Arabidopsis thaliana: one gene and its partners. The protein of the gene in region 2 binds, or shares a complex with, the protein of the main gene of each other region. Each region holds a gene or a part of one and is shown on either strand. Other genes may lie near its edges. The genes, in order: EMB1467, AT3G12260 and mtACP2. A codon is read from its position in the direction of its gene.

Region 1 (8,990 bases), on a different chromosome or scaffold from region 2:
TTTTTTTATGATAAATTACGCTACAAAATATTCATTTAGAAAACATTGTTTTTGGTTGCGTTGAACATCATTTTTGTTTGTTTCAATTGTTTGAAATATAAAAAAAAAATCAATATTTAGAATGAAATTATAAAAATAAAATATAATGTGAGGAATTTTGTTTTCTTTTGTAAAGATATATAATGTGTGTTTAATTTATCTTTTAAATTTTGAAGTAATTTAGGCAAATGATTAAATTTTATAATCATTTTACAATAGCATGTTATATAGTTAAATAAGTTTCTTGGAGCTGTCAAAAAAAAGAAAAGTTAAATAAGTTTCTTGGTATTTGAAGATATATAAGTAATAAACTTACTTTCGTATAAACATAACTTCGTGGTTGCATGTCAGTATATAAAGCCGGATTTACCTGAAATTTTAATAGATTTATGTTAATAATATTAAAACTAAGTGTAGTATATTTCTAAGTATTTATAATAAAACCAATTTATTATGATTTATATTTTTATACTTTTAGGCCGCAACTCTAATTAAACATAAAATGTTGAAACAAACTTACAGTCCATCCAGCTTGAATAAAATCGTCTCCAATCTGAACGTGCATACGAGAAGAACTAAATTGCGGAGATCTAACTTCAGGATCATGTACAGAAATAGCCATCGATACTCCACTATAGCTTTTCTTTTCTCCTCTCTTGGTTCGAGCAACTGCAAACTAGTCATCATAACCATGCATAATCAACTCTTATTTTGAATTTAATAGAATTCTATATATTGAGCAAAATAACAAAATTATATATTTTGTATCTTTTTATAAAGATGACTGCACGGAGATTTAAAAAGTTATATTTACATTTTTGAAATTAATTTGTTTCTAACAACAATAATTTAGAATTTTAAAGGTAATTAATTAAAACACACTTATATTTCTTACATAACTAAAACTTATACCATAAGAAAAAAATAGTTAAAACATCTTATAAAACATAAGGAAGGGTACTACTTACATGATGTTCGACATTATATTGATTATAAGTGAAGTTCCAAGAACCTTGGGGCTTAGATTTGTTGGAATACGAATTTAATCTCAAAAGTTTGTCTTTGGTGACTCTTTGTATGGGTATGGTACCAATGGGACACCCTACACCATTTTCCCACAAGAAACCAAATTTTTTGTCATTTATTTTTCTTGTTCTTGAATTTTTACGGGATGATATCTGATGCATCTACATTTACAAAGAATTTTGTATTAGTGATAAATAATGATCAGATTCACTTATATTCAATTTATTATATACTTTGTAGTTGAGCAAGTGATTTTTCATGGTCTGATCGTCAAACGCTGGTTGTTTGTAAAAATCCACACATTCATATGTATCTCCATGTGTAGTCTATCATCCATAAACAAAAAGTAGATTATAAAATATTTTGTAAACTTCACATATCTCTACAAAATTCAGATATATATATATATATATATATATGTATAAATCAAGGTAACGAGTGCAGCTCTAAGAAAATAAGATGAAATTAAACGGACTTTGATGATTTTAGCTGCATGTTCGTCGATGACTTTAAGTTGTTCTTCCATTTCAAATGAGGTGAAATTTTGCAATGTTTCTGCATCCACAAAATGATTATTGAAACTCGATATATCGCTGAAACATAGGATATAACCTAACAAGAAGAACAACTTTCCTGGAAAACTTAATTTCATATTCTCTAAGAAATAAGGTTGGAGTGGCAATCAAAGAGTAAAGAGAGATTTATATAATAATATCAAAATAAATGAGATAAAGAGAAATATAAATAACATTAATATTTTCTAGATACACATGATTTCTTTTTCATAAAATTTGAACTATATAATTAACTCATTTTTTTATTAAGTGTTATGGTACATGATTATTGTTATTACATGTATTGTGTATCTGTATAAAAATGTGTAAATCTAGATTACTAACTTATGAACTTAACTTGGTATAATTATTTTATTATATAAACTTTGGTTTTCAAAATTAGTAACTCACATGATTGCGACACGGGTAACTTTCTCGATTAGATATCAACAACTGTTTTATTTTTTTGTTTTCTTTTACAGAAAATAAAAACTAATTAAAAGAATATTTACATATACTAATTATTCTTACCCAAAAAAAACTAACAAAATGTTTTTTACATGTGTTATTGGTCAACAAGATTTGGACATGTATCAAAAAAATCTTATCCATTTAGCATGGATTTTAACCAATAAACAATGTGTTGAAGTTCAAAAAAAAAAAAAAACAGGTTATTTAAAATTAATTAAATTAAATAATTTTTTTGCTTATATTATACTTTTAGATATAAGACCTAATCAGTAAGAAAGCAATTTGATAATAAAAAGTTGGTTGTTTGAGAAAGATAAAAAAAGTTGGATGGATTAATTATCCCAGCTATAAAAAAAAATTGATTGGTTTAGGTAAGTTTTTCTAAAATAAATTTATATGTTACTTGTGATTGTCTTTCATAATCTATCTGAAATTTTCTTTATGACCAATCACAAAGTTGAAACTGAAATGATTTTAGGTAACATAACTTGTCAAAAACAGTTTAGTTCACAAGTGATCATCTCACATTGGAAACCATCTAATCCTTTCAAGATTTGCATTATTTGTAACAATCACAATGGTTAAGAACAAACGATAAAAGTAGAGATTGTATATATCGCCATGCCTCCAAATTCATATATGCAAATGTAAAAGGGAGTCCTAATAAGAACAATACAAGATGCCACAAAGCATCCAATTAACACTGCAAAGTTTTGAATCTAACAATGTGCTTATTGCAAATTGCTTATAGATTTCACCGCAAGCTAAACCCGAGATACAGTGATACTCAGGCTTAAACAAAAGGTCTATAAAGAGGACAGCAAACGAAGAATCAGTATCTTTATTTTTGCGAAAAGAGAGAAAATGTGAAAACCCAAGTTAAAGCTCTCACTTTTTCAAGAGCACGGCACTGCACTGCGCCATGATCTTTGATGCTCTTGTGATCGAGTTTGTCATGTAAAAGTTCTCAACCACGGTTTGGAACGGTGTTGTGCTCATTGCCTCCTTGCACTCAGGCTTCAATGAAGGCCCAAAAGCAGCTGGCTCTCGCTCATCTGTGTGGACTAGATTTGGTGCAACGCTCTTTATTCTTGATCTAACACCTTCGATTGAGTTGTATGGAAGCTTCACACCCGAGACCTCGGATAAGGCTCTCACAATCTTCCAGTCATCTCTTGCATCACCAACTGTTGGAACAGCTGGAACAGTCTGTTGGGTAAATCCTTCAGTATTTTCATAGGTTCCTTCTTTCTCAGTGAAGGCCGATGCAGGGAGAATTACGTTTGCACGGTAAACCGCTTTGTCTCCATGGTGTCCTTGGTAAACCACAAAGGCGTCTTTAGGAATCTTGTCAACATTTACATCGTCTGCTCCCATCAAGTAGACGAATTTTGCAGACTCGAGGGCTTTGGCGGACTGTTGAATGAGACCAAGATCAAGAGCAGCCGCTTGGGCAGCATACTGAAGGAGAAAGTTGAGACCGTTCCAGTCTGGTCGGACAACATTGTTGGCTTGTGCAATGGACTCCACAGAAGAGAGGATAGCATTTTTATCAGTTCTGTTGAAGAGCCCAGCACCAACAATGATTGCAGGGTTTTTGGCGTTCTTGAGAGCCGTACAGAATGGATGCCGTCCCTCAGCAATTTCCTTGAGAGTATCAGGCCCAGTCCCGAGGTGTTTGCAGTCGTAATTGAACTCTGCAGGTGGACCAACATATCCAACCTTGGCATTTGATGCACGGACTGTCTTGCAGATCCTAGCATTCACCATTGCAGCTTCCACCCTAGGCTGGTAAAAATAGACAAAAACTGGTGAATGTACTGCTAAAAAACCTTCACAACTTTGATATCTGGAAGAGCAAGTTTTGCTTGATCTAGATTGGTCTGGATCAGGAATATTCAATACAAGCGAAATGTTAACATCTGATCTGTTTTTTAGAAACTTAATTTTGCTTGTTTCTCCTTTCTATTTGCCTCTGTATTCCAAATTATGCACAGAACCTTAAGCCACACCACTAAATCAAAGTATCAAACTACACAATTTGGTTTTTCTTATGTCATTGTTCCAAATACAGAGCGGTCTGTCTAATCCGGTACCAGAAACCATACAAAAAAGACAGGGTGGAAATCTCACCTGGGTACCGATGAGAAGGAAGAGATCGGCGTTTTCAAGTCCACTGATGCTAGTGTTCATCAGATAACTGTATCTAAGATCAGCATCAACACCAGCAGCTGTTCCTTCACACCATACATTGTCTGAGCCCATTCTGTTAACGAAGTCCTTCAGTACCATCATGGATTCCGCATCAGATAGCTGACCTGCTACTCCAACAATCTCATCTGGCTTCACCTGATGAATGATATCACCCACAACAGCCAAGGCATCACGCCAGCTCACTGCCTTGAATCGTCCATCGGAATCTCGGATCATAGGGTCGCTCAGCCTTTGTCTTTTCAGGCCGTCATAACAGAATCGGGTTTTGTCAGATATCCATTCTTCGTTTATATCCTGAATAAGAACATTCACAAGTTCAACATCCAGCAAAATACTTTTAAAAATAGTGTTTTTGAACAAAAGCATTACATACCTCATTCAGGCGTGGAATGATACGCATTACTTCTGGTCCTCTACTATCAACACGGATGTTGGACCCAACAGCATCACTAACATCAATAGTTTCTGTTGCTTTCAACTCCCAGTTTCTGGCTTTAAAGGCAAAAGGCTTTGAGGTCAAGGCTCCAACAGGACAGATATCAATAACATTTCCAGAGAGTTCACTGGTCATAAGCTTTTCAACATAAGTTCCAATTTCCTCTCCACTACCACGACCTAGTATACCAAGATCCTGAACCCCAGCAACTTCAGAAGCAAATCGTACACACCTACAAAAACATTATACATACAAAACCTAATCAACAGGATAGCGTATCTATCACATTAACTAAAACATCACACTATAAGCAAACTATATTAGTAACCTTGTACACTGGATACACCGAGTCATAACAGTCTTCACAAGAGGACCAAGATTCTTATCAACAACAGATCTTTTCATCTCAGTAAAACGTCCTCTATCAGATCCAAAAGCCATAGACTGATCCTGAAGATCACACTCTCCTCCTTGGTCACAAATAGGACAATCCAAAGGGTGATTCATCAACAAAAACTCCATCACTCCCTCCCTCGCCTTCTTAGCTATCGGTGTATCAGTCTTAATCTTCATCCCTGTTACAAAAACTCTTAGCAATAGCACCAAATCCAAATATATTCCACCAATCAACGATCAAAATCAATCCATCAGCATAGAAATTTTCCTGGAATCGAACTAACCAGGAAGCGCAGGCATGGCACATGAAGCTACAGGCTTAGGAGATTTCTCAACCTCAACAAGACACATCCTGCAATTTCCAGCAATAGATAAACGAGAATGATAACAAAACCTCGGGATATCAACTCCAGCGACCTCACAAGCCTGAAGAACAGTGAATCCTTTAGGGACTTTGACCGCGTAACCATCGACAAAGACCTCGATCGCATCTTCAGGATTCGAGAAGTGGACGCGTGCTCCACCTACAGGGTTTCTAGGAGGGAGAATCTGTGTCGGCGGCTCAGGCTCAGAGACAGCAGCGGATTCAGGAGATTGGAGCTCTGGTTTTGAGACGATTGTGCGGAGGAAGAAATTGGAGGTTTGAGATTGAAGAAGACGTGAAGCTGGTCGAATTGTTCGAGAAGCTAAGATGCCTAAACCCATGGCGTTGTGGATCTGTATCGTCTTCTTCTTCTTCTTCGTCTTCTATGTGTGTATTTCTCGATCTTGTTGTGAGAACTCCTGAAGCATTTGTGCGAGAGAGAAGGAGACACGAATGAGTGAGTTTTGGGCTTTATGGGCTTTTATTTTGGATATTATAATTGGCTTATGAATGAGTGAGTTTTGGGCTTTGTGGGCTTTTTCTTTTCAAACTGAATTAAGTTAATTTTGGGAGATATAGTTTAAGAGTTTTGATGATCTTTCTCTAATTCACTTAATGACATTGAGTTTAAAACAATCTTGCTTCTAGTTCCATACAACATATTAGAACCTCTAGCAAAATAAACCTCTAATCAATCATTAGTCCTAGAGACTTTTAGGTCAATGTACTAATTGAACATTTGTATATTTCAGATAAAGACAACTTAAAATATGGTTATAAATGATGACAATTTTAAACATCTCAACGTCGTCTATTTAAATAAAAGGAAAGAAAATATTGTCAACACCTATGCTGCATCGGTTAAGGTTTACGTGTAAGAGTTAGTTTATTTTCCTCGTTTGTTTAGGTTTACGTGTAAGCATCATTATCAGTGATATTGTTATTAATCTAACCTTTGCAATGACAACCAAAAAAAAAAAAAAATGAAGTTTCATAAGCTTTGATATATATTATCTTATCATTACAGGCAGACATGATAAGTATAATTTAACTCGTTTAATTTGATAGTTTTAGTTATAAATTTACATAGTAATTCGTTATAATTTTAATTATGGGTTTGAATGGTTACGGCGGTTCGGGCGGACAAAACCATCAACGGATCAGACTGTTTTTTATTTACCATTAATCAATTATAGTGCACAGTGGTCCGGACAAAAAAAAAAGAAGAAAACCGCAACAGATCATCTGTGAATCATCCACGAACTATTTTTACATATAAATAAACTTGGTCCACAGCGGTTTATTGTCCGCCTCAAAATAAGGTAGATTAAACCGCATACAAAGTATACCGCTTTGTCCACTGCATCCATTCAAAACTTATAAAGTTATAAGTTATAGCTAATAAATATGACACTTTTTCAAATTGTTATAGATCACTTTAAGAGTGATTACATTCCTCTCTTGTTTTTTTTTGTCAAACAGAGTGATTACATTCCTTTCTTTTTTTTTGTCAAACAGGGTGATTACATTCCTTCTTTTTTTTTTTTTGTCAAAACAGAGTGATTACATTCCAAGGCAAAGAAACATAAGGGAGAACCACTAACTACAATAAAAATTGTTGGGTTAATGGCAAAAGAAAAAAAAGAATTAGTGGTTCTTCTATGAAAAAGAATTGCATCCAATGGAAAGAGGATGTGACCGAGTTGATAAGATATGAAACACAACATATATAGCTTTTTGTTATCAAACTATTTATCGTCTCGTATTTGTTCTAATCTAAACCGAAATACTAATATTTTAAGGAAATACTTTGCGAAAAATAAATAAAAATTCTCACCTTTATTCAATCAAAGCCAAAAATGAAAAAAAAAAATAGAAGCAAGACAATCATATTCATACAACTCGATAAGGTAGTACCTCTAAAGTGCAAAACGAAAACAAGAAATATCTCTGCTATCTCATTCTCGTCAACTAGGAAACTCTGCATAATCTCTCTTTTACACAATGCAAAGAATAAGGTGAAGATGAACTGATTATCTCTAGCGTACTATGAAAGTCAATATTTAGATGCAAATTAGGTGATTTTTATTGTCGATATTCTTCTTTTTCTGGACACGTCCTCATATTCGTGTATATTTAATTTCTTCTCTTGGTTTTATACAAAGCCGACCATTTGGAAAATTTAAAACTAAAAATCTCAAAACCTGATGTAAATTTTGATTTTACTTTAAACAGAAATCCTACGTTAAACATATAGGAAATGCTGTTACACACCCATTAATGTCTATAACTAGTACATCAATTTACAACAGATTTATTGTCTTAAAAAAAAATAACTCCCCCACTTACCCCGTGAATGTTCAAGTACACTAGTCCAGATTAACTTAAATTCGATTATGCTAGAAATGATTCACAAAAACCGGTTTAGGGAATCATCATCCAGATTTGGAGCATCGTAATCTTTTGGTAAATTTTTATTAGCCGTTCGTACAATTCAATTCCAAATTTTAATTTAGATGAGATTTTTTATATTAAAAAAACAATGATATATGTTCGACAATCGACATGTTCTGATGTCCTATATAAATTCGGTCCTTCTAGACAAAACCTTACGTTATACACTTCAACTAATAAAGAGTCCAAACCAAACAAAAAAAAAACAGTAGTTTCTCGACAGAAACAAAATCAATATAGCTTTAACATCACGAGAAAGAAGAACTAAAGAAGACCAAACAAAAAATAATTTGGAAAAAAACAGAGAAGCAGCTCTCGTGATCTTCCCGCCTTTTCTCTTCAACTTGTAAAACATTACAAGATCTATCTTCTACCAAAAAGACGAAGTTTCGAGTGTCAGATTCAAGAGTTGAATCGGGTATTAAACTCTGTTTTTCTAGATCTTTGTGTCGAAGAGATCGCCGGAGATTTCATTTAACCGATTCTTGAAAACATGGGACGTCTCCGGAGACGGCAAGAGATAATAGATCATGAAGAAGAGGAATCAAACGACGACGTTTCATCAAGAAGAGGAAAACTCAGTTTAGCCGAGACGTTTCGGTGGCTTGATTCATCAGAGCATCGGAGAATTGAAACCGATGGTCATAATGATTATAAATACATCATTCATCCCAAAAACAGGTTCTTTCTTTTTTCTCTTTCTTCATCATGCACTTGAAGAGTTTCCTTTCTATCGGGAGATAAATACGTAGAAAATACTTTTCTTGAAACCTTCAAAATATCTTCTGTTTTTTTTTCTGTAACTTCAGAAAAAAACTTTATTCACCATACCACTTCAAAAACTTGTCTCCCTAGTTTTAACTTCGAATAATACAATAATAGAAAATTCACCATTTTAATAATTATCAATCACTAAAACTCTTATCGTTATTTCTTTCTGCTCATTTTTAAGGCTGTGTCACCAATCTAATCTAATATTAGTATCACTTCAATCTAGTTTAAATATTAATATTTATGTCAAGGATTTTTTAAAACA
Region 2 (7,385 bases):
TCAAAGGGTTTAACTATATGTCATCTGGTTTACAATGGCTTCTCTTACACTTACACTTTTTCCATGAATCACCTTGTAGATATCCCAAATGAGCCTGACTTTCAGGGAAATCATATACAACTACCGGAAGCAACCACAGTGTAAACCATTAGTTTTCCGCAGCGTTTATGTGGATGCGTTACAATGTCGCCGTCAAGGGGTATATATACACTCTTAACCTTATGCTGAAAAGTTTCTTTACTCGGTGGAGAAGACTAAATTTGTGACAATGACTTGAACAGAGAATAGGGCCAGATCATGTTGACATCATCACATTCTACAATGAAATATTTATTCCTGCCGTAAAGCCGCTGCTGGTGGAGCTAGGTCCTGTAAGAAACGACCGGGCTGTGGAAGCCAATAATAAGCCTGAAGGTAGTTAAGAAAGGCCAGATACTTGTTAGATGTAAGCTTTGTCTATCAATTTAGTCCCTAAGTTAAATGATCGTCTTATTTTGGATTCACAGGTCAATGTCCCGGATCGCCAAAGGTGTCTGTGTTTCCAAGTGTTCCAGACATGTCCCCTAAAAAAGTATCTGCAGTGCACAATGTTTATGTTTCTCCTCTTCGGGGATCAAAGGTAAAGAAGATCATAGTGCTTAACTCTTTATCATGATATGACTAAGTCTTGAGGAGGAGGTAGGTGACAAGATTGTTTGGTTACCTTCCATGTGTTGTGTGTTTGCAGATGGATGCTCTTATTTCACACAGTACAAAGAGTTACTATGCTTGTGTTGGAGAGAGTACACATGCTTACCAGAGCCCTTCAAAGGACCTATCTGCCATCAACAACCGCTTGAACAAGTAAGTAGAAAAATCACGTCTCTCATCAGCTTCTTCCATAAAACCAATCACTGACCCAATCCAATTTCATCTGGTGTCACAGCAGCAGCAGCAACCGCAAGAGGACGCTAAACTTTGACGCAGAAGCAGGGATGGTCAGCGATTCCATGGTAGCAAATAGCCTTAACCTCCAAAACCAAAATCAAAACCAAAATGGAAGCGATGCATCGTCCTCAGGTGGTGCCGCACCCCTTAAAACCGAGCCAACAGATTCATAGATATCTCTCTCTACTTGCTACACCAACTTCTCTTCAGTTATAGCATCTGTAAATCCTTATGTTGCAGAGTTTGCTTTTATGTTTAGCTTTCTAGTTTATAGTGATCACCTCAGGCTATGAGCGGATGGATCCCTTTATTGTTTCTTTTTTCTTTTTTTATCTTAGTTAAGTCAGTCTTAATAAGCATTAATAAATGTCTTTTTCTTGTTCACTCTTTCTAACTGTGTTCGGTGTCCCATCTACTAAATTTATTTTCCACTTTAAAAAAAAACAATTTGTGACATTTACTTAACTTGGAACATATACAGTACAGTTAAGCAATTAACTATAACCAACAAATTGTCTGAACAATTGTCTGTCTTACCTTTTTAGCTCTCTATAAATTTACGCCGCAAAACAACACTTTATGTCGATTTCAGAATAACTTACTACTCCAGCATATTTCTCAAAACTTTCTCAATAGGTTAAATTTAAAACAACCTTGCAACTTATGAAAAAATCCTCAGCAAATTTGCCAGAAAAGAGTGTTACAATGGCTACAATCACATTCATAGATTAAATATCTGAACCGGCCAGTGACGCTTCTGACCCTTTGAGCTCAGCCCAGTAGCCTCTAACGAGATGTCTATGCTGCGATGCTCATGTGCTCGTGCAACACTCACACGCAGATGAATGCTTGAGGCGGGACACTCTTCGGTTCCGATGGCTTCTCTTCTGTCATTACCAGACAGAACCGAGGCCGGTGCCACTGAGATTGGTTCTTGAAAAGTTAAGATTGTCTGAGCCCAGTGTGTTGGGGGAGTGTAGGGTGATGTGGATAGTACGGTTGGGTTTTCCTTACAGAACCTACTGGTGAAACCTGTGTCAAACCACAACACAACACCATGGCACAACCTAGTTTTTGCTTCTGACTCAGTGGGCTCCAGCGTTGCCGTTGCTGTGAAATCTACTTCATCCGGTTTCATGGTAGCCAGGTCAAATGTCTAGAAACAAAGAAATTCAAGGAAATTAATTTCAAAGTTTTTCCTGGCGAAACCAAATAATGTGTGATCTTTCAAACCTGAAGAAGGGTAGGCTGTGTCACTAAATCACGCTCCGCTATAACGTCAACAATGGGAAGTCGAGTAGTGTCGTCATGTATCTCCTTCCCAATTGAAGACATGTCAAAGCCATAGACATCTTCCCAGAAAGGAAGACTTGTTGCACCTTTTCCAAATCCCGCAACAAACTGATCCAAGGAGAAAACAAGGGATAAAACTCATCAAGATGATTTCATGAAAAAGACAACATTTGAAGGGCAAAAGATAAGCTTTACCATAGTGGCCGTGTCAGGGAGGATTGCACCTCCAGGTTTCAACCACCGATCTCTTGCATAGAGCACAGAACTGAGCATTGACTCATATAAAAGGCAGTATCCCATCCATTCGCTGACTAACACATCAACACTATGAGGCTGAATCTGTATCGATTTATCTAGCTCTTCTACCATTGAGTGTGCAACTTCAAGTACCCCATTATGCTCGTTATCATTGAATACTTTGTTATCCTTCGCAATCTGCTAGAAACCAGGTAAATAATTGATATCTATGAGGAAAAAAGAAATAATGAAAATCTTGTAACAAGTAGAAAAAAAGGTAACCTTAGTTGCAACTTTGGCCATCTTCTCACTAGCTTCAACTGCAACTACCCTTGAAGCCCCAGCTTTAGCAGCAAAAAGACTGCAGACAAAGGATAAATGGTTATTGCATGCAAACTAAAAATAAGAAGTACCAAAAGTTTGACTTAAACAATCAAAGGATCTGCATATAGGCAAGAGAAATTCAAGGAAGCCTTCAGAATATGAAATAAAAGAAGCAAATAGAACCACATGTTTAAAGCTTCGTTTAGAGAATGAGAAGAAACCTAAATGAGATGGCCAATATAGAGTGAGAAAGATAACTGCAAACTCACCTCAATATCCCAGTTCCACAACCAACATCCATTACAACAGAGCCATTCAAGAGAGTAGGATTCTTCAAAAGTGCATCTCGGTATGCTTCTGTTCTAACCTGTTACAGACATCAGACACATTGAATAAACCTGACAGCTGATAGTCTTTCTTCATATGGTGCAAGTGCAGGTTAGTTAATTATGACACAATTCCAGAAAAGATTAGTGCATTACCTTATCACTTAGCATCTCCCTGTGAATGCCAAACGAACTATAAGATCCAAAATAGTTCTCATTCACCTTTCTGATGTTCCTATTAACTAGCCTTCCATCACAAACCTTTGGTTCTGCATCTTTCCCATTGACTATCAAATCATCCGCAGAACTTTGCTTTAGGCCATTGCAGTTTGAGAGCGAAGTTACATCCTTACTTCCATTTATATTGCATTTATCACTGTTCGACATTGAGCTTTCCCCTAAAGCCTCGACATCAATGCTTAAATCCCCAAGCTTCTGCAATTCCTCCATCACTTCCTCTCTGTCAAACGTGACTTCTTCATCTTCCTCATCATCTGCAAACGAGTACAAAAGTGAATCCTCCTGCCAAAAAGGCTTCAGATACTTCTCTTCATCCCAAGGAAACTTAACATCTTTGTAATCATCAGCTTCAATCTTCCAACTGAAACACATGTTCTCAGCCACCTAATTCATTAAAGGAACCAAATTTAAACAAAAACAATAAAATTAGAGAAACCAAAAACGAAGGAAGCAAAAACACAAACCTGTGAGCGAATATAGTTGATGAGCTTAAAAGAAGAGTAGAAATCGAGCTTCAATTCCTTTCTAACTCCATGAAAGTCGAATCCGTGGCTTAGACGACAGTGTTCGAAGAGTAAATCACAGGAAACGAAGTGAGAATCACAAAACAAACACAGAAAATCAGATTCCGAGTCGTCACCATCATCCTCCTCCTCCTCCTCTCCTCCTTCTATACCATTATCATCAGCTTTCCAGTCTCCCCAATCTCCTTCGTCTGAGTAATTTTCTTCTTCATCCTCGCTGTAGTTGAGAATCTCGTGCTTCACCATTGTCGCCGCCATGAGAAAGATAACGGCGCCAAGTTCTTAAGAGAGAGGTTTAAGAAAGCGGAGACACCCCGGCGGGATAGAAAAACAATTACCTTCTTACCCTTTTTTGTAAACCGAAACTAACCGGAAATAATTACGGCTATTCTCTACATCAGCTTAGGCCCATAAAAAGCCCATTAGCCACTCACTTCGAAACGACGTCGTCAGATAACTCTGGAAGCAATCAGATAGTCAGATGTTTGTTTCTCTATTCGGCTACTCATTTCTCTTTTAATCTCAGGCAGGAAGGTGAAATTTTTCGATTTCGTAGATCAAAATGGCGGCACCATTCGCGTTGAGGAAAATCGGTGTTCCTCCGAACTCGGCGAACCTGACGGAAGCTCGCCGCCGTGTTTTCGATTTCTTTAGAGCTGCCTGTAGATCTATCCCCACCATCATGGACATTTACAATCTTCAAGATGTCGTCGCTCCTTCTCAGCTCCGCTATGCTATCTCTGCTCAGATTCGGAATAACGCTCACATCACCGATCCTAAGGTACTTTCCCTTAATTTAACTCTGATTAATACGGACCCAGGTCCTATGCGATGGCGAAATTGAAAGCATTTTCCTTGTTTGGCTAATGCGTCTTGGTTGGCTACCAAACAATGAGCTGTTTTATATTTGTTAATCTGATCGTATCTGCTTTCTATTCCACTTTTGGCTTGGATTTATTGTCAGCTTTGTTTGAGTGTTGTTGAAAGCTGAAAGCTTACACCTTCTATCGTGTAGAATTTGTGCAAGTAGTTTATGTGAGCGGAGACTTTTAATTTCTTGGTAGTCTTATCTTATGAACAAAAAAGTGTCTTGTGAATTGGGTGCTTGGTGAAGATTTACTTGGAGCGAAAAGGTGGGAGCTTTACCGGTTACATCCTGCTAAAGCTGTGTTCCTTTCTTCTTTGCATTTGTTTTCTTTCATAGATGAGTCTGTTGTCGTCGATACAGTAAACCTGCTACAAAATTATATACTTCATATCAAAATGGTGTTCTTTCTCGTAGTATGACAGCATTGTTGGCATTTGGTACCAAAGTTAAGATTTGCTTATGTGGTGAATGGTTAGTTGTTTGTATTTTGAACCATCAATTCAAAGCATCTCCTTGAGTGTGGGTGTAGTGATCTCGGATTGGTTCTCTTTTAAGGTGATTTTAGAATGCAATCTGATGGTGGTCTTGCTTCTGCAGGTAATTGATCTTCTTATATTCAAAGGAATGGAAGAGCTGACTGACATTGTGGATCACGCAAAGCAGCGTCACCACATCATCGGTCAATATGTGGTGGGTGAAGGGCTCGTGCAGAATACTGGAAACAAGGATCAAGGAAAGACTGATTTTCTCAAGAATTTCTACACCAGCAACTACTTTTGAACTGGTGATGTTTACTTTTCGAGTTTCACATAAGCTGTACTGTTTATGCTGCTTCAGTTCTTGCTCAAGTTTGCATATGTCTTGCCAGTATTGTATTCTCGACATTTGGAAGAAGTCTTCTTCCTGGAAATAATTAGATCTTTTCATTTGTATGAGTATTTTCTCTGACTCAGGTTGGTTATACATAGTATTAGCCAAACCTCTGTAAGCTTTATGTGTGACAGTGTTTACTGGGCAATCTTGCTATGATTTCAAGATACACAATCTGCTCTCTTTTTTGAACTCTCAATATAAATTGATTTGGTCTGCTGGAGTTTATGATCATACAATCCAAGTTCCTGAAAGGATCCCATCTTCTGTCATGTTGGTAATTGCGACCTTACACTGATCACCTATCCGCTTTGAATATTCAAAGACCTATAAACATTCACTCTATAAAACTATGCAACCTGATGGCTAAAAATTACAACACACACAACACTCGAGTCTTGCGGACCTCAGGAAACCAATTTCAAAACCTGCAGTCTTCTTTCCCAAAATATTGCTTTTGGTAAGAATCTGAGAATGCCTTGCTTTGTGATCGATCTCTTGGAAGGAGTATCCCTGCCGATCTGAGTCATAAGATTATGTATAGGGCTGACTGCTGAGTAGAGCACTATTCTTCTGTTTCACTCTCTTGGCCGGGCAAGCCACAAGGAACTAAGAGCACGTAATCGAGATGAATAATCGTGTATAGCAAGAAGAGCACGAGCTGACTGACGTGTTGTTAATACTCGAAGCATCTGTTGTAGTGTTTGCAGCCTCAAGTTATCAGCCTGCCACCAAGAAATGCCCTATGAACTCCATAACAGACGGATTCATATATAAAATAAAATATTTATCTCTTTGTGACGATGAAAAGATATGGTATATCTCGATAACATCCACATTTCTAAAGTACCTGGCGTATGAATCCTTCGAGGGTGCCTAACTGCCCCATTGCCATGGCCATCTGACCCATGTAGCTCGCGACATTATCCGATGAACTGGAACCAAGAGTTCCACTGGATAAAGTATCAGCTAGGGATTGCTGTAAACTCTCCATCCCTTGAGATAAAGCATCTTCTGCCTGCTGCGACGTCTGCTGCAAGCTATTGATGCCCATTACCTGTCGTTCTGTCATGGGCTCTAGCTGATTCGCAAGAAGCTGTTGTGAAAACACTGCGACTCATTAAGTTGGCTGTTCATCAAAATCTCTCTATGGACTTGGAAAGAGCTTACCTTGAGAAGTTCGGATGAGCGGAACCCGCCAAGCCACAAGAAACATCGCTCAGCTGGTGTTTTCCACATTCCAGATAACAAGTGGAAGACATCATTCTTAGCTGCATTGCTCTTAATCCTGAAAAGCTCCTCATAGTGAGCCATCACTCCATCCACAATTATCCGGAGCTCAGTATCACCTGCATGAGCATTCAGGGCAGATCTCAGCTCGTTCATTTGCCTGTTCTTTTCTTCAAGCCATCGTGAGTGTTCTGCATCAAATGCCAAAGCCCCTGCAGAAAGGCAAGTATACTAGATCAAGAACAAACCCTTGCAGACCTAAGCTAACACCAGCGCAAACTATAAGAAACTTCAGTTTTGACATCACCATGACTTTAATTTCCCATCCAGATCATCACTGACTCTTGAAACCATTAACTCTAACAAGTGTAAGCATATTGCCATGAGATGACTTATGCTATCACCAATTCATCAACATATATGTATATATGCACTTATCTCACATAGAAATTTCAAATCAAAAGGATCAATCTCAAAACTAACAGAGAAGAAACAACCCACCATTGCCACCAGTAGAATGAGCTTGGTCTCCTGAACTTGAGATGA
Region 3 (7,583 bases), on a different chromosome or scaffold from region 2:
AACTGAAAAGGGTTTGGCAGATGAGAACGGTTTGGGATCGAATTCAGCTGATGATGTTACTGGTCCAAAGAAAAGGTGACCACGCTTTCTATTTGTGGTTAATTCTAGTGTGCTTGATATTAATTGGTTAGAGGATAAAACATGGTGTGATAATTTGATTGTAGGGTGATTGGACCTGCAATGCCATCAGCTGAGTTACTTGCTGCAGCAGCTAAGCTAACAGAAGCTCAAGCTGAACTTAGGTACTTTTAATTGATTATCAGCTCAAAGATCATTGTCTTTTTATTTTATTATGGAATAACCAGTTTAATAGATATTCATTATAAATGCTTCAGAGAAGCTGAGCTAGAAGAAGATTCAGAATATTTCATTGGACCTGCTCCACCAGCTGTTGTTGCAGAAGTTGCATCGTCGAACGAGGCAGAGCGATTTGAAGAGGTTCTTAGTTTTCCTTCTGGCATTATCAATACAGTTCTTTCTTTTACAAAGTTTATGGATAGTGTATTCGCTAGAGTACCAACTCATACTTCTTGCATTAACAGGTGACACGGATTATGGAAGCTGACGCTAATAGTCCATACGACGTCTTAGGAGTGAATCACAATATGGCTGCTGATAATATGAAGAAAAGGTATGGACTCTGTTACACTTTTTGGAATCAAGAAAAATGATTATTAGTCACTAAATAACTGCGCTCAATCATTTTACACAAGTTTAAGTTATCAGTTACATAATTGATGATATAGACAATTCTGGTCTGTAGGTACTGGAAGCTGTCGCTTCTTGTTCACCCAGACAAATGTTCTCATCCCCAAGCCCAGGAAGCTTTTGTTTTACTGAATAAAGCTTTCAAAGAATTACAAGATCCAGAAAAGGTGAGATAAGAATCATCTACTGTCTGATTATTTTTCAATATGCTCTTAGAGACTTACTGAATCATGTGGCCATCCATCATCTCTTTATGTGTATTCACTTAATACCATCTCTTATATATTGCCCTTTTTATTATATCTCTAATGTATTAATGTCTACAGAGAAAAGCAATGGATGACAAGATTAAACTTAAGGAGGAACAAGAGGCATTTAAGGTTTGTAATTCTGCCGGATTGATCTATGTAATCTTTCAGGATAAATATGTTGGTTTTACTTACATAGACATGGTGTATTTCCCTACAGGTTGAATTACGTTCAATGCAAGAAGCAGCACAGTGGAGAAGATCACAAGGTGAAGATGAATCATTGTGGCATGCAGGCTCCTTAATCTCTTTGCCTCTTAGGGATGAAAATCTAATGAAGATTTTTTTCCGTTTTGCAGGCATATCAATGGAAGGGGATGCAGAGTTGTTGGCAGCAACCGAGGTTAAACCTGAACCTAAAAGAGATGAGTGGATGACCACTCTGCCTCCTGAAAGAAAGGTGAGAGATCCACAATTGATTGAAAACGCTTTTGAATTATTGGATAGTGTTTAACTTTTAAATCTTATTTGGGGTTCTTCTTTCGCAGGTTGGAGTGGCCGTGCAGCAATCAACCACGTTTAGTAGAAATGCTAGAGAAGGACGCGGAGACACTACAGCGTGGACTGATACTCCTATGGACAAAGCTGAAAGAGCAAAGATGAAGTAAGAACACACTAATTAACTACATTTCACGATGTTGTTTGGTCATGAAAGCAAAACACATTGGTTCTTTTTGAAGAAGTTCAGCTGCTCAAACCTAAGTTCTAGGTCTACTATAATTAGCCTAGGACTGAATACATCAATCGTAGCTGTTGTGAGTTGTTAGATAGCCATTAGTTAGGGTTGGATTTATAGGGCTGTCTCTGCAGATTGTTGAAGGGCGGAGTAGATATTCAAGGTTTTGGTCATTTGGTTGAAGTTTCATAGCGTTGTTCTTATATTTGTTCTTTCCGCTGTTCTTATCAGTTACTTGGAGGCATACAACAAGGCGAGTGCGCTTGCATCAAACGAAGGGGAAAATATGAAAAGAAGCATGGATGCTGAGCTTGTAGACAAGTATAACAAAGAGAAAAGAGCAAAGTCTCTGGTAGAGAAGCACAGAGAAGACTCTTCTTCTTCTTCAAGCCGTCTGAAAAAGAAGAAGAAATTGTCTTCATCCAAAGAGAAAACCGAGAAGGACGAGTGGGTAGGGAAACATCCGTGGAAGCCATGGGACCGTGAAAACGACCTTACTGCCGGGAGACAGAATGTGAAACTTGATGCCGATGGTATGGCTGAAGGTTTGGCTTCCAAGTTTTCTTCTGGGAATTTCCAAAGAAGCTTCCTTTAGAGCTTGTTGAAGGAAACTTGTTTTGACGATAAATGTATCCAATTCCAAATATTTTTGGAACTTTATACCCAAAAAGAGTATTTCTTACCAAATCTTGTTTTTTCTTTTGCTACTGTAGTCTTTTTTTTTCACATGCATACTAAGTTAAACAAGATTCGACACTTTATGTATGTTCTGTGGTAGATTATAAAATGAGTATATGTTGAATAGTTATTAACTCTATGTATGTTCCATTTATTTGAACGCTAAATTAGCAAATGGATTTTTTTTTTTTAAATGAAAGACGAGCCAGGGACACTTGAAGGATTGTTTAATAATGCAAGGAGTGTCTGATGCGTTTAATAAGATAAAATCAAGAGAAAACAAAGTTCTTTGAAAGGCCTCGTAATTCATGCAGAAACACATCTAATACTTATGAAACCAGAGTAGTAGAGCCAACACAAAAGCTTATCCATTCTCATGACAAAAAGAAAATGTTGTTTGCTTCTTTACTTCTTATTAGGCTTTAACAAAATCTGTAGACACAGCTGAGGCACGCATGAACACCGAAGAATTTGTTTCTCTTTTCACTTAGCCTGAGGATGAGAAGCAATAAAGTCAACGGCTAGATCGATGGACTGGATCTTGTCTGCTTCATTATCAGGGATCTCAAACCCAAATTCCTCCTCCAATGCCATCACAACTTCCACACTGTCCAAACTGTCCAACCCTAGATCATTTTGGAAATTGGCTTTTGGTGTTACCTGCCACCAGAGTACAAATGTATTAGTACAGAGTTCAAGCCTAGTAGAAAGCAATGAAATTGGAGCCTGAGACTTCCAATATAGATAACAACTGATTAGTTCAGATAGTCAGATGAAGTCTCCAAGTTATTATTTAGTGTTTCGTTGCTGATCAAGAGGGCTAAGAAGCACTACATGAACACTCAAACACAAAGCCTACAGTAAATGCACAAATAATCACTCGGCTAAACTTCTCAAAAAGCTTTCAAGATACAAGAATGATAACTTCTTTTCTACATGATGCTGAAGGGATCTTGAAAATCTCAACCTAATCAAAGATAAGCTATCAGTAGAACCACATCAGTCAAATGCACTTTTCATTAGCTAGAAACACCCGAACATGGCATCGAGAAAACAAGAATTCACAGAAATATAAGAGAACAAGGAGCGAATGTTTATTATCGCTTAACAATAATACATAGGACTCACTAATAGTTTCCAACCCTTCGAGGAAAATATGCATTGCTACTAGACGTAAATAAGAAATGGACAAATCTCCTTAAGCCACAAAAGAAGACATCAACACAAGTATGAACAAAAGTTTCCAAATTGTTGTAATGTAGATACTCAAATGTACATATACAATTCTCAAGACGATAAAACTTTCTCCTTTGTTCTTGCAAGTGAAAAATAAAACGATGCAGAATCCTAAGTTCTCTCTACTCAAGGTTAGTAAATAATAACGAATAATTGCTGAGTGATAGACTTCAATGAATACTAAATCCAGCTACAAATCAAAGCTTTTAATCATCTTTCATTTCTAGATAACAAGTAAACACCAGAAATCACCACGGATCACACAATTTCATCGTAATACAATCGAAAATGAAGAAATGGGTCGGATCGAAGAAGAATTTACCTTAGAAGGATCAACTTTTTGGAAGTTTTTGACGACAGAGAGAACTCGATCTGTGACCTCAGATTTGTCAAGGAAAGAGCCTCTAACTTCCTCGGAGAAACGACGAAGGAGAATGGAGAAAGGAAGTACACATTCTCTAGGGTTTTGAATTGTTGGATTGACGTTGACTCTCAGGTATCGAAGCATAGCACCTCTCGCCGCCATTGCTGTGTATTGCAGAGTAAGAGAAAAACCTAGCAAGCTCTTTCTCTTTGCTCTCGAAGGAGAGATTTCCTTACTTTGAGATACGCAAAACGACGTCGTTACATTTGTAAAGTGGGCCTATCTGAGCCCTCTAACGCTTGGGCTTTGTCAAGAATTTTATCTAGTAGTATCAGTTTCACAAGTCCCGTTTAATCCGTTTGACTTGGCATTCTTCAAATTTGTGCTTTCAGAATCTAGCTCCCAACCAATTGAAGGTTTCAAATTTTAATTTAGTACTATTAAGCAATTTTGAGATTTCCTTGTTATCTTCTTCAAAGCAAACGTTTTTTTTATCTCTTACACCATCAACTTTACATAGTATTATTAATGAGAGTTGCAAGTAGATTTACTTTTGCTTGTCTTGCACCTAAAGATATATACCTTGATCTTCTTTGTATTAAGTTTATTAATAGAATATATGAAAATCTTTTTGATTTACTAATTACGGTAATAGTATTCTCGTAATTTTTCTTCCGGTATATATTGGATATTGAAGATTACTACTTTACAAAGATTTCAGATTTGTGGACAATTTCAAAACCACGTTTTGGCAACGCATTTTCTAGATTATTCCTTTAGATATTGTGAGATGACTCATTTATTTTATTTGTTATCAGATTTCAGTACCAGAGATATGAACTCAAAGAAATTTACTGAAACTATGAACTCAAAGACTATATACTACATGTACGACACACTTTTAAATTCTTGTCATTGACCAAATAAGCTCTTATGTATGGGTTATAAATTTTGCTGCCTGGTATCTTCTCCACTTCACTATTCTAAATGCTAATTGAAAAAAACACTCAACGTTATTGAAATTATATTTGTCACCAAAAGAATCAGATCCTTCGAAAAGAAGAAGAAGAATCTGTTTTATTACAATTGGTATGGTTTTCTCTATCAGTTGATTCGATATTGGTGTGGTAATGAAGTGGAGAAATTAAAGAATAGTAAAATTAAAGACCCCACTTATTATTTCTTCCCTCAATAAAAAAAACAAAAACATTTCTCTACAAAAATCATAAATGTTATAACCAAAATAATTGAAAAAAGTAGCTCGAGAGAGAAGTAGCATTTGCTACTTTACCCAAAATCCCTAACCACATAATAAACCAAACCCAACAAAGAAAATAAAATTTCAAACCAAAAAAAAAAAAAATGAGAACTTTAGAAGAATCGAAGATCTCTATTGTCTTCTTGTTGCTTCTTCTCTTCTCAATCTTCATCAGTTCCAGTCACCAGGTTAGTTTCTTTACTTAGATCCCTCTAAAGTTCTCTTCTTTCACATCTGGGTATTTCTAATTTTGTTAAAAATCAAACCTTTAACATAACCTGAATTCAAAGTTTTGAGCTTTATGGGTTTTGATTGGAATTTTGTTTAGGCAAATGAGGTATTACCAGCTGAAGGAGATAATGAGATGATGATGGTGCCATTGGGGGAGGAGAAGTTTATGGTAATGAATGAAACAAGAAGGAAACTTGGAAGTTTTCAGATATGTTCAGTTTGTACTTGTTGTGGTGGTGCTAAAGGTCTTTGCTTGCCTTCTCCTTGTTGCTATGCTATTAACTGCAATATCCCTAATAGACCCTTTGGTTACTGTTCTTTCACTCCCAAAACTTGCAATTGCTTTGGTTGCCATATCTGAGATCTTCTACTTCATTGTAATTTGTAAGTTTCTTATTCTTCTCTGTTCTTAGTTTCTGCTCAGTTCATGTTTTGATGTTTGGTTATGAATGTTTTGATTCCAGGGGAGAGAAACAAGTGAATCTAAATCTTGATTCATCTTCAAGTGTGAAAGGGAGGAAAAAAAGAAGAATATCTGTTCTTGGTTTGAGTCTTCTACTTATTTTTTGTCTATAATTTATTTTTCAGTCTTCATTAAATTTCATTACCTACTATCTCAGCAACATCATCATCCTCATTAATTAATTGTCTTTTTGCATTTGCCATTTTTTCATAATTTTCTAGGGTTTTTTTTGTTTTGAGAATCTTGTTCACACTTCAAGCAAGATTTGTTTCTTCTTCTCTGTTCAATCAATTCTCTCTATCTGTCTTTCTCTCTCTCTTTTTTTTTTTTTTTCATTCTCTTGTTTACTTCATCATTTTGTTTCTTATGTGTTTTAAGAAAGTTAAAAGTTAGAATTTAGCATATTTTGGAAAAGAGTCATTGTTTGGTTAAGCTGGCAATTGGAAGAGTATTTAATATGATGATGATGATGGTATTGATGGTGATGGTGGTGATAGTGAAGCTGTTAAAGTTAAGTCTTTGTAATGAGTGACATGTTAAGAAAATGGATCAAGTTTAGTGCCTTATTCTGATCTGATAAGATCTTTAAGTGTTTTAGTTTAAAATAGAGGAAAAAGAGTAAAAAAGCAATTATTCATCTTCAAGTGCAGAGACTAGACAATATCTTTGAATATGTTTATTTATCTGACACTGTTATTATTGTAAGAGATGTTTTATGTCAAATGTTTGTTCCAACTCTCTCTATTGCGTTAGCGTAAGTAACCTGCAAGATCTGTAAATTAATTACTAATTGTTATTTATTATTCACACATGGGACATCATAAAGTTGTCTTGGTGATAAATTTAGTCAATATGTGTGTGTGGGTTAAGAGTGTTGACTATACCAGTTTCCCCGTGATTGATTGGCTTTTATTAAATCGGACAATTTGCATTTATATTCACAGGTCATGTTTATTAAACTCTACATTGCTGTCTAATGTCTATAGTACACCAAGTCTATTGGTGATTGAAATGTCGGAGAACGGTATAGTTTTTCTGTTCTTACAATAAAAAGGTAGATTAAGAACACTGATTAACTCAATGTAACCCATACACTTACACGTCGGGTCAATCTTGAGCGGTGATCTTTTGGGTTTACCTCTAACCCCGGACTGGTTAAACACTTTTCTCACCTCACCACATCAAAGCCATAATCAGGGCCCAAATTTGAGTGCCTACAGCAAAAAGATTTTGGCCCAATAACAAAAAACTGTTTTTTAAAACAATTACAAAATTTTCGTCTAAATTAGATTCAAAACTGTATAGTAAAATGTTTGGGACTAACCACTAAACTACAGTCACATTTTTGAAAATGATGACTCTAAAACAAGTTATAATTATTTGCTGCGTAATACCCTTGCTTCATGGGATTACGTGGAGAAGAAGAGTAAGTATCAATCAATTTATTGCTAGAGATTTGCAAAAGGGGGAATCCGTGTGCAGAGGTGTCTAGATGAAGCCATGAGTCTACAGCGGAGTTTGAATTTGCGGTGGATGAGTTACGGTGGAGATGACATTTTCCAAACATTACAAGCCTTAACACGTGTACCTACTGAGATTTTGATAGAACTTGAAATTGTTTCCCAAATAAACCTCTTATTCGGAAGTTAGGTTTTGGACTC

Evidence for each region.
Region 1: the proteins of AT3G12260 (region 2) and EMB1467 are in contact, whole or in part, in a cryo-EM structure (PDB 8BED), measured with the Arabidopsis thaliana proteins. Residues at the interface, in NP_566416.1 of Arabidopsis thaliana: Lys120 (codon at 5,475), Thr121 (codon at 5,478), Phe123 (codon at 5,484), Leu124 (codon at 5,487), Phe127 (codon at 5,496), Tyr128 (codon at 5,499), Thr129 (codon at 5,502), Ser130 (codon at 5,505), Asn131 (codon at 5,508), Tyr132 (codon at 5,511), Phe133 (codon at 5,514); in NP_568550.1 of Arabidopsis thaliana: Trp361 (codon at 4,481), Arg362 (codon at 4,478), Leu365 (codon at 4,469), Ser621 (codon at 3,356), Pro645 (codon at 3,284), Thr646 (codon at 3,281), Ala650 (codon at 3,269), Arg651 (codon at 3,266), Asp652 (codon at 3,263), Trp654 (codon at 3,257), Lys655 (codon at 3,254), Ile656 (codon at 3,251), Arg658 (codon at 3,245), Ala659 (codon at 3,242), Glu662 (codon at 3,233), Val663 (codon at 3,230), Asn671 (codon at 3,206).
Region 3: the proteins of AT3G12260 (region 2) and mtACP2 are in contact, whole or in part, in a cryo-EM structure (PDB 8BEE), measured with the Arabidopsis thaliana proteins. Residues at the interface, in NP_566416.1 of Arabidopsis thaliana: Phe27 (codon at 4,512), Asp28 (codon at 4,515), Phe30 (codon at 4,521), Arg31 (codon at 4,524), Cys34 (codon at 4,533), Arg35 (codon at 4,536), Arg56 (codon at 4,599), Tyr57 (codon at 4,602), Ser60 (codon at 4,611), Ile63 (codon at 4,620), Arg64 (codon at 4,623); in NP_176708.1 of Arabidopsis thaliana: Phe61 (codon at 3,952), Gln62 (codon at 3,949), Asp82 (codon at 2,991), Ser83 (codon at 2,988), Leu84 (codon at 2,985), Asp85 (codon at 2,982), Val87 (codon at 2,976), Glu88 (codon at 2,973), Met91 (codon at 2,964), Ala92 (codon at 2,961), Glu94 (codon at 2,955), Glu95 (codon at 2,952), Glu100 (codon at 2,937), Ile101 (codon at 2,934), Asp103 (codon at 2,928).

The regions. Positions count from the first base shown.
Region 1 is NC_003076.8:14,894,341-14,903,330, reverse strand, and holds EMB1467 (NADH-ubiquinone dehydrogenase), read right to left. Parts: upstream 5,922-8,990; 5' UTR 5,842-5,921; coding exon 5,421-5,841; intron 5,316-5,420; coding exon 5,069-5,315; intron 4,973-5,068; coding exon 4,678-4,972; intron 4,599-4,677; coding exon 4,224-4,598; intron 3,879-4,223; coding exon 2,983-3,878; coding exon of another isoform or gene 2,979-2,982; exon of another isoform or gene 2,897-2,978; coding exon 2,884-2,896; 3' UTR 2,684-2,883; downstream 1-2,683. Other genes in the region: AT5G37520 (NEP-interacting protein, putative (DUF239)), read right to left, coding at 560-661; GORK (gated outwardly-rectifying K+ channel), read left to right, coding at 8,448-8,635.
Region 2 is NC_003074.8:3,907,386-3,914,770, reverse strand, and holds AT3G12260 (LYR family of Fe/S cluster biogenesis protein), read left to right. Parts: upstream 1-4,295; 5' UTR 4,296-4,433; coding exon 4,434-4,652; exon of another isoform or gene 4,653-5,336; coding exon 5,337-5,519; 3' UTR 5,520-5,831; downstream 5,832-7,385. Other genes in the region: RBR1 (retinoblastoma-related 1), read left to right, coding at 80-199, 282-414, 507-619, 728-843, 926-1,100; PRMT3 (protein arginine methyltransferase 3), read right to left, coding at 1,649-2,083, 2,161-2,328, 2,416-2,655, 2,740-2,818, 3,051-3,148, 3,264-3,731, 3,812-4,129; TGA6 (TGACG motif-binding factor 6), read right to left, coding at 6,188-6,334, 6,460-6,705, 6,780-7,051, 7,341-7,385. UniProt on the Arabidopsis thaliana protein: Accessory subunit of the mitochondrial membrane respiratory chain NADH dehydrogenase (Complex I), that is believed to be not involved in catalysis. Complex I functions in the transfer of electrons from NADH to the respiratory chain.
Region 3 is NC_003070.9:24,246,235-24,253,817, forward strand, and holds mtACP2 (mitochondrial acyl carrier protein 2), read right to left. Parts: upstream 4,203-7,583; 5' UTR 4,133-4,202; coding exon 3,929-4,132; intron 3,031-3,928; coding exon 2,854-3,030; 3' UTR 2,493-2,853; downstream 1-2,492. Other genes in the region: AT1G65280 (DNAJ heat shock N-terminal domain-containing protein), read left to right, coding at 1-75, 165-242, 336-438, 543-631, 764-875, 1,035-1,088, 1,177-1,225, 1,316-1,416 and 2 more; AT1G65295 (ubiquitin carboxyl-terminal hydrolase), read left to right, coding at 5,333-5,416, 5,557-5,820. UniProt on the Arabidopsis thaliana protein: Carrier of the growing fatty acid chain in fatty acid biosynthesis. May be involved in the synthesis of short and medium chain fatty acids.